Arabidopsis thaliana: one gene and its partner. The protein of the gene in region 2 interacts with the protein of the main gene of each other region in a biochemical or structural test. Each region holds a gene or a part of one and is shown on either strand. Other genes may lie near its edges.

Region 1 (6,894 bases), on a different chromosome or scaffold from region 2:
CTAACTTGCGTGTACTAGCCGTCCATCTACAATACAAAAATATGTTATAGCCTACAATAAATGATAGTATGAAAAATTAAATAGCACTATGATATTTTGAGGCGGTGGAGTTTCTATTGATTGGTTATCGATGACCACTTGCATCGTCAAATGGTTCTTTGATTCGTGGTTTCGGCCCCAGCTTCATACTATCACGAGACTCGACCATCTTGTTTTTTTCTTCTTCTTCTTGGTAAATGGTTTCACAACTTGGTTCCTCTTTCTTTCATTTTATTTTATATACTATCATAGCATTTTGGTTGGATTTCTCGAGATAGTATATTTTTTAGTTACTATCATTACATAAGTATATTTTAAAAAACTAATTATATGAATTATGTAGCTAACTAGATAGATAATCGTATAACCAATTCATGTTAGTATAGTATAGTTTAAGTATGTATTTTGGGATTACAAGTGTGGTTGGCATCAAGACAAGGATGGTGATAGCCTTTCTCTGTAATTTGGTTTAAGAAAAGTTTTTGCATTTTATGTATAAACGTGTTTTTTTTTTATAATTTAAAATTTCAACAAAAAACAATTTTTTTTAATAATGATTGACCACTATAGACAATTTAAATGATAAAAAAAACCCCCAATTTTTCACAATGTTTTGGAGATTAGTCTAGATTTTTTGTCCAAATTTTCCGATTGTAAGAATTAAGAAGCAATGAACATTTGTGTTAAGCTTAATGATTTGTACTCACAATATCTTTTAAATTTAAAATTGTTAACCAAAATATCCTATATATTGTACTTGTAATAGAAATATAAACTATTAAAAACAACACTTTATTCATATAATATAAGTTAAAACATATGTTTTTTTTAGTATGTTCTAATCACACCTATTAAAAAAAGTTGAAGCTAAATGAGCCAAAAAGAAAAATAAAGATAGGGGATGGGGACAGGCTGTAATGTTAGGCGGTTGGTATATGAACTGAGAACATGTCTGTTGGTTCGGTCCATCTACACCACTCAACCATTTGGCTATGTTTTCTTTTTGGCTTTTGCATGTTCTCTCTACTTTTCTTCTTTGGTCAAAATCTCTATCTCGTCTTTTACATGGCTTACCCGAATGTTAGTTGTCATGTAAATTTGGTTATGAAAAGATATTTTATATAAACTTTATCGTATATTAATATCGTTATCATCTAACCATTTTTTAAAACTAAACTAGAACCATCCAGTTTTACAAGAGTTTTTTTTTTTTTTTTTCTAACTAAATAATATTTGAAGTGTACAATATTAACAATATATGGGCCAAATAATAGTGGAAACCAAATCGTTAGTCCCACTTTATGATGGGCCTGTTGATTCTTATGTCTTCTTCGTAAGTTGTGATTATGCAGATTACGGGCTAATAAACATGCATGTTTAGTTTTTACTGTCCAAGTAACGAAATTTTATCTTTTGGGTTGTTGGCCCATTTCATATATTCCAAATGCCAAATCCAGCCCGGCTCGACACAGCACTGCTCGGCTCAACACTCGTATGCGGTTGGTAGCCACTTAAGACCTTGGTTTGATTAACATGTTACGAATAATTTGTGTCCCTTTTTCTTCAAGGAGACTAATCTCTTTTAATAAAAAAGAATTGTGTCATTAGTCAACACAAGTCCTATAATCCGTTTACGGTAATTTGTATGCACGTCCTTGGAAAAGTGAGTAGTGGCGTAGCATTACAGCCAAAAACTATTTGTATATTTTTCTTTTCGTTAAACAACCAGCAAAATTTTCAGAAAAATGTTCTTAAATTATAAATTAGTAGTACATTTTAAAACATAGAGATTTTTTGTTTCTTTTAATAGAAGAGTTAAACCTATGTACAAAATTTCAACTCCTTTTCAAAGTATTTGCCTGTTACTAGATTTTTAACCTTTTTTTTTTTATCTTTCATGATTTTCTATTGCTTGCCATCATCAATGGTAGGAAATAAATACTATTTTAAAAAGGTCAGGGGTGGATTTAAGAATCAATCCAAAAGTTTGGGGTCTTTTGGAGATTAAAAAGTTATATGGGAAATATCCACAAATATGAACGAGAACTTTTGTCAAAAAAATTTAAAATAATTTTTCAAAAAGCCCTAAAGCTTTCAAGGGAAGCCATCGATGAAGAAGAAAACGAAGAAGAAGACTCTTCAAATGCTCGCGCGAACTCACTTCTGACGAAAACCATACTTCCTCAGTCTCATTCCCTTTCCGACGAACTATTCTCCTGAAGAAGAAGACGAAAATGGCGAACAAGCTCAAAGTCGACGAACTCCGTTTAAAACTCGCCGAGCGTGGACTCAGTACTACTGGAGTCAAAGCCGTTCTGGTATTTCTCTGAATTGCATTGAAATACTCTTTCTATTTTGTTGATATTCGAATTTGTTTATTGGGTGTTTCGTGTAGGTGGAGAGGCTTGAAGAGGCTATCGCAGAAGACACTAAGAAGGAAGAATCAAAGAGCAAGAGGAAAAGAAATTCTTCTAATGATACTTATGAATCGAACAAATTGATTGCAATTGGCGAATTTCGTGGGATGATTGTGAAGGAATTGCGTGAGGAAGCTATTAAGAGAGGCTTAGATACAACAGGAACCAAAAAGGATCTTCTTGAGAGGCTTTGCAATGATGCTAATAACGTTTCCAATGCACCAGTCAAATCCAGTAATGGTTTGTTCAATTCTCTGGACTATTGAGAAATTTGGTAAAAATTGAGTCTTTTTAATGTTGTTATTGTCATTGTGTATTAAGGGACAGATGAAGCTGAAGATGACAACAATGGCTTTGAAGAAGAAAAGAAAGAAGAGAAAATCGTAACCGCGACAAAGAAGGGTGCAGCGGTGTTAGATCAGTGGATTCCTGATGAGATAAAGAGTCAGTACCATGTTCTACAAAGGGTGAGGATTTGGAACCTAATCTTGAGTTTTTGCATCTTATCGTGTTCATGAATGTTGTTAGAAACTGTTTCTTTTTTTGTTGAATGTTGTAGGGTGATGATGTTTATGATGCTATCTTAAATCAGACAAATGTCAGGGATAATAATAACAAGTTCTTTGTCCTACAAGTCCTAGGTCAGTCTTCCAAAACCTTCAACAATAATTTCCCTGGTTACTTTCCAAGATTAATGAGACGATACTTGTCTTGTTCGAGTACTGGAAACCTCTTGAAGCAGCTTTTGATGACTCTTTGTCATTCTTCTTGGTTCCAGATACTATCATCATTGATCTATCTTATCTATTGTGCATTGTGCAGAGTCGGATAGTAAAAAGACATACATGGTTTACACCAGATGGGGAAGAGTTGGTGTGAAAGGACAAAGTAAGCTAGATGGGCCTTATGACTCATGGGATCGTGCGATAGAGATATTTACCAATAAGTTCAATGACAAGACAAAGAATTATTGGTCTGACAGAAAGGAGTTTATCCCACATCCCAAGTCCTATACATGGCTCGAAATGGATTACGGAAAAGAGGAAAATGATTCACCGGTGAGTGTTTTGGAATCCTCACTTCTCTTTCTCTTCTTACTATTTGTTGTGTGGTATGATCCAAGGGATCTGCTGGAATGAGGTTTTTGAGTGCATATCTACTTTTCTTTTTCCCGTTTAATTGCAATTATATATTTTTTTTCTCTTCGTTCAAATGTGCACTTTACTCAGAGTTCACGATTGTTTTTTTTCTCAGGTCAATAATGATATTCCGAGTTCATCTTCCGAAGTTAAACCTGAACAATCAAAACTAGATACTCGGGTTGCCAAGTTCATCTCTCTTATATGTAATGTCAGCATGATGGCACAGCATATGATGGAAATAGGTTTGAGTCTAACTTTGATCACTTCATTCAAGTGAGAGCATCCATTGGCAGATTAACAGTGATTTTTATATGTCGATACATTATCTCTTTGTTTTGGTGTCCTATTACCTGCGTTTGTACTTCCTATCTTTTGTCCTATCCATTTGTTTGCCATTTTGCTGGTTTCTTTACTTCTTGCTGATTTTTCATACATCTTCTAAATTTGGAATTGAAGGATATAACGCTAACAAATTGCCACTCGGCAAGATAAGCAAGTCCACAATTTCAAAGGTAAAGATAGTAAACAGTCTGTTTGGTCTCATTTCCGTAAATTATAGTTTGGTGTGATTTCAGATGATATAATCTCCTCTTCCACATGTCTAGGGTTATGAAGTGCTGAAGAGAATATCGGAGGTGATTGATCGGTATGATAGAACGAGGCTTGAGGAACTGAGTGGGTATGTATCTGGTTAATTGCTAGACAATTTTTCGCATTTAGTTGATTATGTAACTGTTTCCCATAAAGAAATTAGATTTGAACTAGTCTAACTTTGTTTATCATTGATGCAGAGAGTTCTACACAGTGATACCTCATGATTTTGGTTTTAAGAAAATGAGTAAGTTCATCTGTGCTAAGGTTTACGATATATATAACTAAACATTCACTAACATCTGAATTCCGAGCTGTAACAGGCCAGTTTGTTATAGACACTCCTCAAAAGTTGAAACAGAAAATTGAAATGGTAATTTTTCCTACTGTTTCCTTACTTGACTAGTTTTGGTCTTCAGAAAAGCAATGGTTTGTCGCTACATGTTTTGTGTAGTTTTTAATATATCGTTTTTTTGTAAGGTTGAAGCATTAGGTGAGATTGAACTCGCAACAAAGTTGTTGTCCGTCGACCCGGGATTGCAGGTAATTCAGTCAGTCTATGTGGTTTGAAGGCATGAAATCACTCCGTCGTATAGTTCTCTAAGAATATGACATTATTTTTTGCAATGGCTGTAGGATGATCCTTTATATTATCACTACCAGCAACTTAATTGTGGTTTGACGCCAGTAGGAAATGATTCAGAGGAGTTCTCTATGGTAAATTTTCGGTTTTGTGAACTTTGAACAAATATCTTTGATACTCGAGCATCTCAAACATGTCTGTGTTTTAAACCTTTTGGTGTTTACTCCTTAAAACCAAAATCAGGTTGCTAATTACATGGAGAACACTCATGCAAAGACGCATTCGGGATATACGGTTGAGATTGCTCAACTATTTAGAGCTTCGAGAGCTGTTGAAGCTGATCGATTCCAACAGGTATGTTATGGTATTTCGAGCTTGTCAGTACCATACACATTATTCTGATTTCTCGTTTTTGGCATTGTGAGACTTTAATTTTTCTTGGCAGTTTTCAAGTTCGAAGAACAGGATGCTACTCTGGCACGGTTCACGTCTCACTAACTGGGCTGGTATTTTATCTCAAGGTAACATGTTACTCTTTTTCCTCTTAGTAACTACTTTTTTTCTTCTCCTCTTGGGGGATTTTCAATTGCATAGTAAAATGAACAACTATGAGACACCAAGCAGGTCTGCGAATAGCTCCTCCTGAAGCGCCTGTAACTGGTTACATGTTTGGAAAAGGGGTTTACTTTGCGGATATGTTCTCCAAGAGTGCGAACTATTGCTATGCCAACACTGGCGCTAATGATGGCGTTCTGCTCCTCTGCGAGGTATACTCGCTTCTTGTCTCTATTCATATAGAAAACAACAAAACTACTGTATAACTACAGGACCTCTATAGCCATTCAACATAACTATCCTTATGTTTCCTAACGATAAAAACTTCTCTAGGTTGCTTTGGGAGACATGAATGAACTTCTGTATTCAGATTATAACGCGGATAATCTACCCCCGGGAAAGCTAAGGTATGAAGATAATCTCATTCATATTTCACACAAGTTCCTTATCTCAAACCGCAATGAATTATGATTTACTATTTTTGTACTGTACCTTGATTTGTTATTTGATGGTTGCAGCACAAAAGGTGTGGGGAAAACAGCACCAAACCCATCAGAGGCTCAAACACTAGAAGACGGTGTTGTTGTTCCACTTGGCAAACCAGTGGAACGTTCATGCTCCAAGGTTTTTGTTTTTGTCTTGCTTCAACACACATTCACAAAATCTAACTCTCTCAAATTTCATAAACTGACTTTATATAACTTTTGCAGGGGATGTTGTTGTACAACGAATATATAGTCTACAATGTGGAACAAATCAAGATGCGTTATGTGATCCAAGTCAAATTCAACTACAAGCACTAAAACTTATGTATATTAGCTTTTGAACATCAACTAATTATCCAAAAATCAGCGTTTTATTGTATTTCTTTCAAACTCCTTCATCTCTGATTTTGCACGGTTCACTCGTATATTGGTACGCTAAACCGCAAACCATACCCAATTTTATCCGGTTTAGTTGGTATGATTGAGAAATTCTTATTCTCTGAAACTCGATTTTATTAGTATTTAAGCGAAAGAGAAGAAACCCTACGAAAATCTCAATCGGAAACTAAACGGCAAAAAAAAAAAAAAGCAGAGGCAGCCATGGGAGAAAAGAGAAAATCTACTTCGAAAACCCTAGCTAAGAACAAGAAGAGGAAAGGTCCTCATTTGCCTAATTCAATCCTGAAGACTATTGCCAATGAGAAACGTCCTTTGAACTCTGACGAAGATGACGATGAGATCGATTCCGACGATGAAAACGTCGATTTGTATGAGTATGAAGAAGGTGTGCCTGAGGAAGAGTCTAAGAAAAACAATCGCTATGACCGCGTCGATAACTACGACTACGAGCTTCCCGAGGATTTCGAGGTTTTATTCTTTCTCTTCACTAATTCTCCGCCACTGTGTGAAATTGCAAGTTTTGAACTTTAGTGATAAGAAGATAATCTACAGATTTTGGTTTTAGCTCAATTAGGGTTTTTGCTATCGGGATTCTTACGCTATAACAAATTGGTGAATCCAAAATTGAGAGTTTTTAATTGATTGATTGGTAATGAGATAGTAACTTTAGATCTGGTCTTGGC
Region 2 (3,477 bases):
AATGCATTGGTAGGCACTATATTTCAAAGGCATTGGTCTTGAGAAGATGTTGATTGACCGAAAGGAGGAGCTAATGATGCTCTAAGGAGGAGCGCTGTTTGATCCTCAAGGTAAGTTACAAAGACTGAAACCGTTATCTAACTGTGCATATTTCGACTACCTAAGTAACGGATCGTTTACAACTGTGTCTAATTGTATTCGCTACTTTTAGGTACTGGCTTACGAAACATTGATAATCTAGTTGAATGTCACAAATATTTTGAACTCAAAGACATCATGATAAACTTTATAGCTCCAAGCAAACCAAATACATAGAATTTTTTACTCTCTTAGCTCAAATGAATAAAACTGAAAAGTATCTATTTTTGTATTCATTACTAAACCATATAGAGATGTTGGTTTACACGCGAAGAGTTGTAGTGTTTGTACTAACGATTACATATGAACCAATATGTTTTGTTAAAACATCTGTATGGGCTCCGTGTAATCACTAACTTGGGCCGTTTCAAAAGTCTTTAGGCCCCATCTTAGTCATACATAAGTATTAGGCGTTTTTTCTTTTCAATTCAACGACTTAGATAAAATACATAATTAGCATTTAGTTAACCAACCCCCAACTAGAAATAATTACTCGAATTTGTTTCGCCTTCGTTTCTTCGATTCTTTGAACAAATAATAGATATCAACCCAAGTAAAAATCTATCTATTTAGAGTATATTACATGGTAGTACTGGTTATACATCCGAAGACTCTTTACTCTTACACCCAAAAGAGACCACACCAAACCAAAACAAAGTCATCATCCATTTACAGAGACAACAAAAAACCTTATTCTTCATATTCACACACAGTTCCATCTTCTTCTCCTCCTCCTCAGTGATCAAGCAGCGGAAGCTTTCATGGCCTTCTTCTTACCAACTGAAGATTTGATAGACTTAGGCTGTCTCGCCTTCTTCACTTTCCTCTTCTTTTCTTGTTTGTTCACAGACACAGTCTTCTTAGGCCTTGTCGAAGAAGACCTAGTCCTCTTTGTGATCTCTTTATCTTCTTGCTTCATATTCTTCTTATTCTTCTTGTCCTGCTGCCTCGTTATCATCTTGGTGGTATCTGAGAGCTTGTAAGAGGCTCTGATCTTCACGAGCTTACCTTTAGCAACAGAGTTTTTAAGCTGTAGAGAAAGTGTTTTACGGAAACTCTCTGGAAGTAAAGACTTGTGTTTCTCCTCTATCTTCTTAGCTATAGCATAAGGGCTTGATCCGTTCTTCTCTTTCAGGACCATCAAAGCCTCTTTTATCATCTTCATCAAAAACCAAAACGAAAAAACTAAGTTTAATAGATAGGAACTCAAAAGAAAAAGTTAGAACCTCACCTGAAAGTATGGAGGATGAGTGGTGGTTTTCGGTTTTCGCGGCTTCTTCGCCGCCGGAGTCTTCTTTAAGATCTTGTCTTCTGCCATTAGAGGATTAGTGAAAGTGTTGCTTTGCTTGTCTTGTCTCTATCTGTTAAATTTTTTCGTGCTAGCTTATTTATAGCGCAGGGAAGTGTATTCGTGTGTTTTCTGTATTCGTTATGGTTTTTGTCAGAGGATCGATTACGTGTGCATTAATAAATCATGAGCGTACACGTGTCGTTTAAGTAATGGCTGGATTCCATGTGTTTATCCGAGAAACACACTTGGTGGCGGTGATCGTCCTTTACTCTTACTAGGCATTTTGTGAACGAGTGTGTTTTCTACTGAAACACAAAATAAGTTCTTATTCTTAATAACGTAGACGCAGTTATTAGGCCAAATAATTGGTTAAATTTGGTTTAATGAAAAAATTGATGGGAGAAAGTTTAAACCAGAGCTTTGTTCGTCATCTTATTTGATTTTTAAAATTGTTAGCTCACAAAAATTGCGATATGTGTCAAATTTACTAATACAATATTTTTTTTGGTCGGTATTTACTAATACGATATTTACATGTGTTTCAAATTTTATTACATTTAAAAACAAAAATAGAAAAAAATCCTTAACCCTATCAAAAAAAAAATATATACATAAAACAATTGTTTATATATTCAATTTTTTATATTTAATATATTAAACTAAACTCATTCTATTAATAATTGTTGATCTATTCAAAACATAAATAAAATTCCCCATTTTGTTCTTAAAAAGAAGTGTTTTAATATTTTTAAATATTGTAACTTAAATATGTTTATCTTTTTATTTTCTTAATTTTGTTTTATTTTCTTCTTCTCAGTTATATCGTTCTATTTATTTACCACATTTACCGAGAGGCTTTGCTTGGTCCAACTTTTTCTTTAGTTTTTAACAATATGGTTTTAGAAAAGGTAAGATTGAAATTTGGTTTTAGAAAATATATATTAAATAAAATATATATAGATTATCATTTGAAAAATTTATTAAAACAAAAATTTATTTATTTTTCACATCTACCTATTTAGAGAGGTTTTATCTAGTAAAGTTATTAACCGTTCGCAAATTTTGTGTTACGACATATATAAACAATTTATGAAAAATTGCAAGACTAAATTAATTACGGAGTTAATGTTTCAAGGTGTTATTCATTATAATTGAAAAATGAGTAAGTATTGAACCCAAATACAACTATGTTATTATTGTATCATCGTTTTTTTCTTTTTGGAGTATAACATGTAGAGTAAGCTACAATTTCAATAAATAAGTTGAAAAGAAAAAAATCATAGATTTTTAAAACTAAGCTAAAACTCTATTTTGGTATAGGAGGAGTTGCACCCACAATTCTTGAGCATTGTTCCTTTAGCATCGGAGGGAAAAACAGAATGAATGGAATTTTCGGCATGGAATTGACTTCAGCGTCCAACAATGCTTTACAACAAGATGGACCTAAATTGCCGAATTTTCCAGTGAAAATAGATTGAGAAACCTCTACAATGCATCCAGGAATATCCATCACGGATGACCAACATTTTGTTATGTCAGGTAATCCTGACATACCAGGAATCGGTTCGAATAGAAATGAAAAAGGAAATGGAGCCGGAAACTGAGGCATCTAAGCATTTACAGAAACGATGATGCATAGAACCGCTAGGAGTGAAAGCATATTTTTTATAGACATAATGAGAAATTGAGTAAAAAGAACCTTAGTATAGCCAAATATATGCTGAAGGTTATATTTGCTTTTGATTGATGAACAACAATAAGACTTTTGATTATTTATATGGAATGAAATGTGAAACTATGACATTAATTATCTTACTTTAACATCTTTGGATGCTTTAATTAGAAATTTCAATAGTTGTTTTATAAGTATAAATAGAGTTGAAACTCCAAGAAAACAAGTAACATTAACTTGGAAATATTGACTACAAAGAGCAATAAAAGTGTAACCGGCTTCACATAATTAATCAGTTACCAGTATATATCTCAAAATTTAAACCAATAAACCGATTTATTCGAATTTTCTAGAGAAAATTATTTGAATCCTTAAA

What was found. Proteins that work in one complex are often made in the same cells at the same time.
Region 1: of the proteins of HIS1-3 (region 2) and PARP2, one has a biochemical effect on the other in vitro, tested with the Arabidopsis thaliana proteins (one study listed by BioGRID).

What each region holds. Positions count from the first base shown.
Region 1 is NC_003075.7:1,047,831-1,054,724, forward strand, and holds PARP2 (poly(ADP-ribose) polymerase), read left to right. Parts: upstream 1-1,935; 5' UTR 1,936-2,273; coding exon 2,274-2,357; exon of another isoform or gene 2,358-2,434; coding exon 2,435-2,696; intron 2,697-2,777; coding exon 2,778-2,923; intron 2,924-3,015; coding exon 3,016-3,097; intron 3,098-3,278; coding exon 3,279-3,514; intron 3,515-3,710; coding exon 3,711-3,840; intron 3,841-4,054; coding exon 4,055-4,110; intron 4,111-4,203; coding exon 4,204-4,277; intron 4,278-4,389; coding exon 4,390-4,436; intron 4,437-4,512; coding exon 4,513-4,562; intron 4,563-4,669; coding exon 4,670-4,732; intron 4,733-4,825; coding exon 4,826-4,906; intron 4,907-5,015; coding exon 5,016-5,126; intron 5,127-5,217; coding exon 5,218-5,293; intron 5,294-5,396; coding exon 5,397-5,539; intron 5,540-5,660; coding exon 5,661-5,734; intron 5,735-5,845; coding exon 5,846-5,951; intron 5,952-6,037; coding exon 6,038-6,130; 3' UTR 6,131-6,356; downstream 6,357-6,894. Other genes in the region: AT4G02400 (U3 ribonucleoprotein (Utp) family protein), read left to right, coding at 6,413-6,679. UniProt on the Arabidopsis thaliana protein: Involved in the base excision repair (BER) pathway, by catalyzing the poly(ADP-ribosyl)ation of a limited number of acceptor proteins involved in chromatin architecture and in DNA metabolism.
Region 2 is NC_003071.7:7,844,074-7,847,550, reverse strand, and holds HIS1-3 (histone H1-3), read right to left. Parts: upstream 1,553-3,477; 5' UTR 1,457-1,552; coding exon 1,370-1,456; intron 1,298-1,369; coding exon 881-1,297; 3' UTR 520-880; downstream 1-519.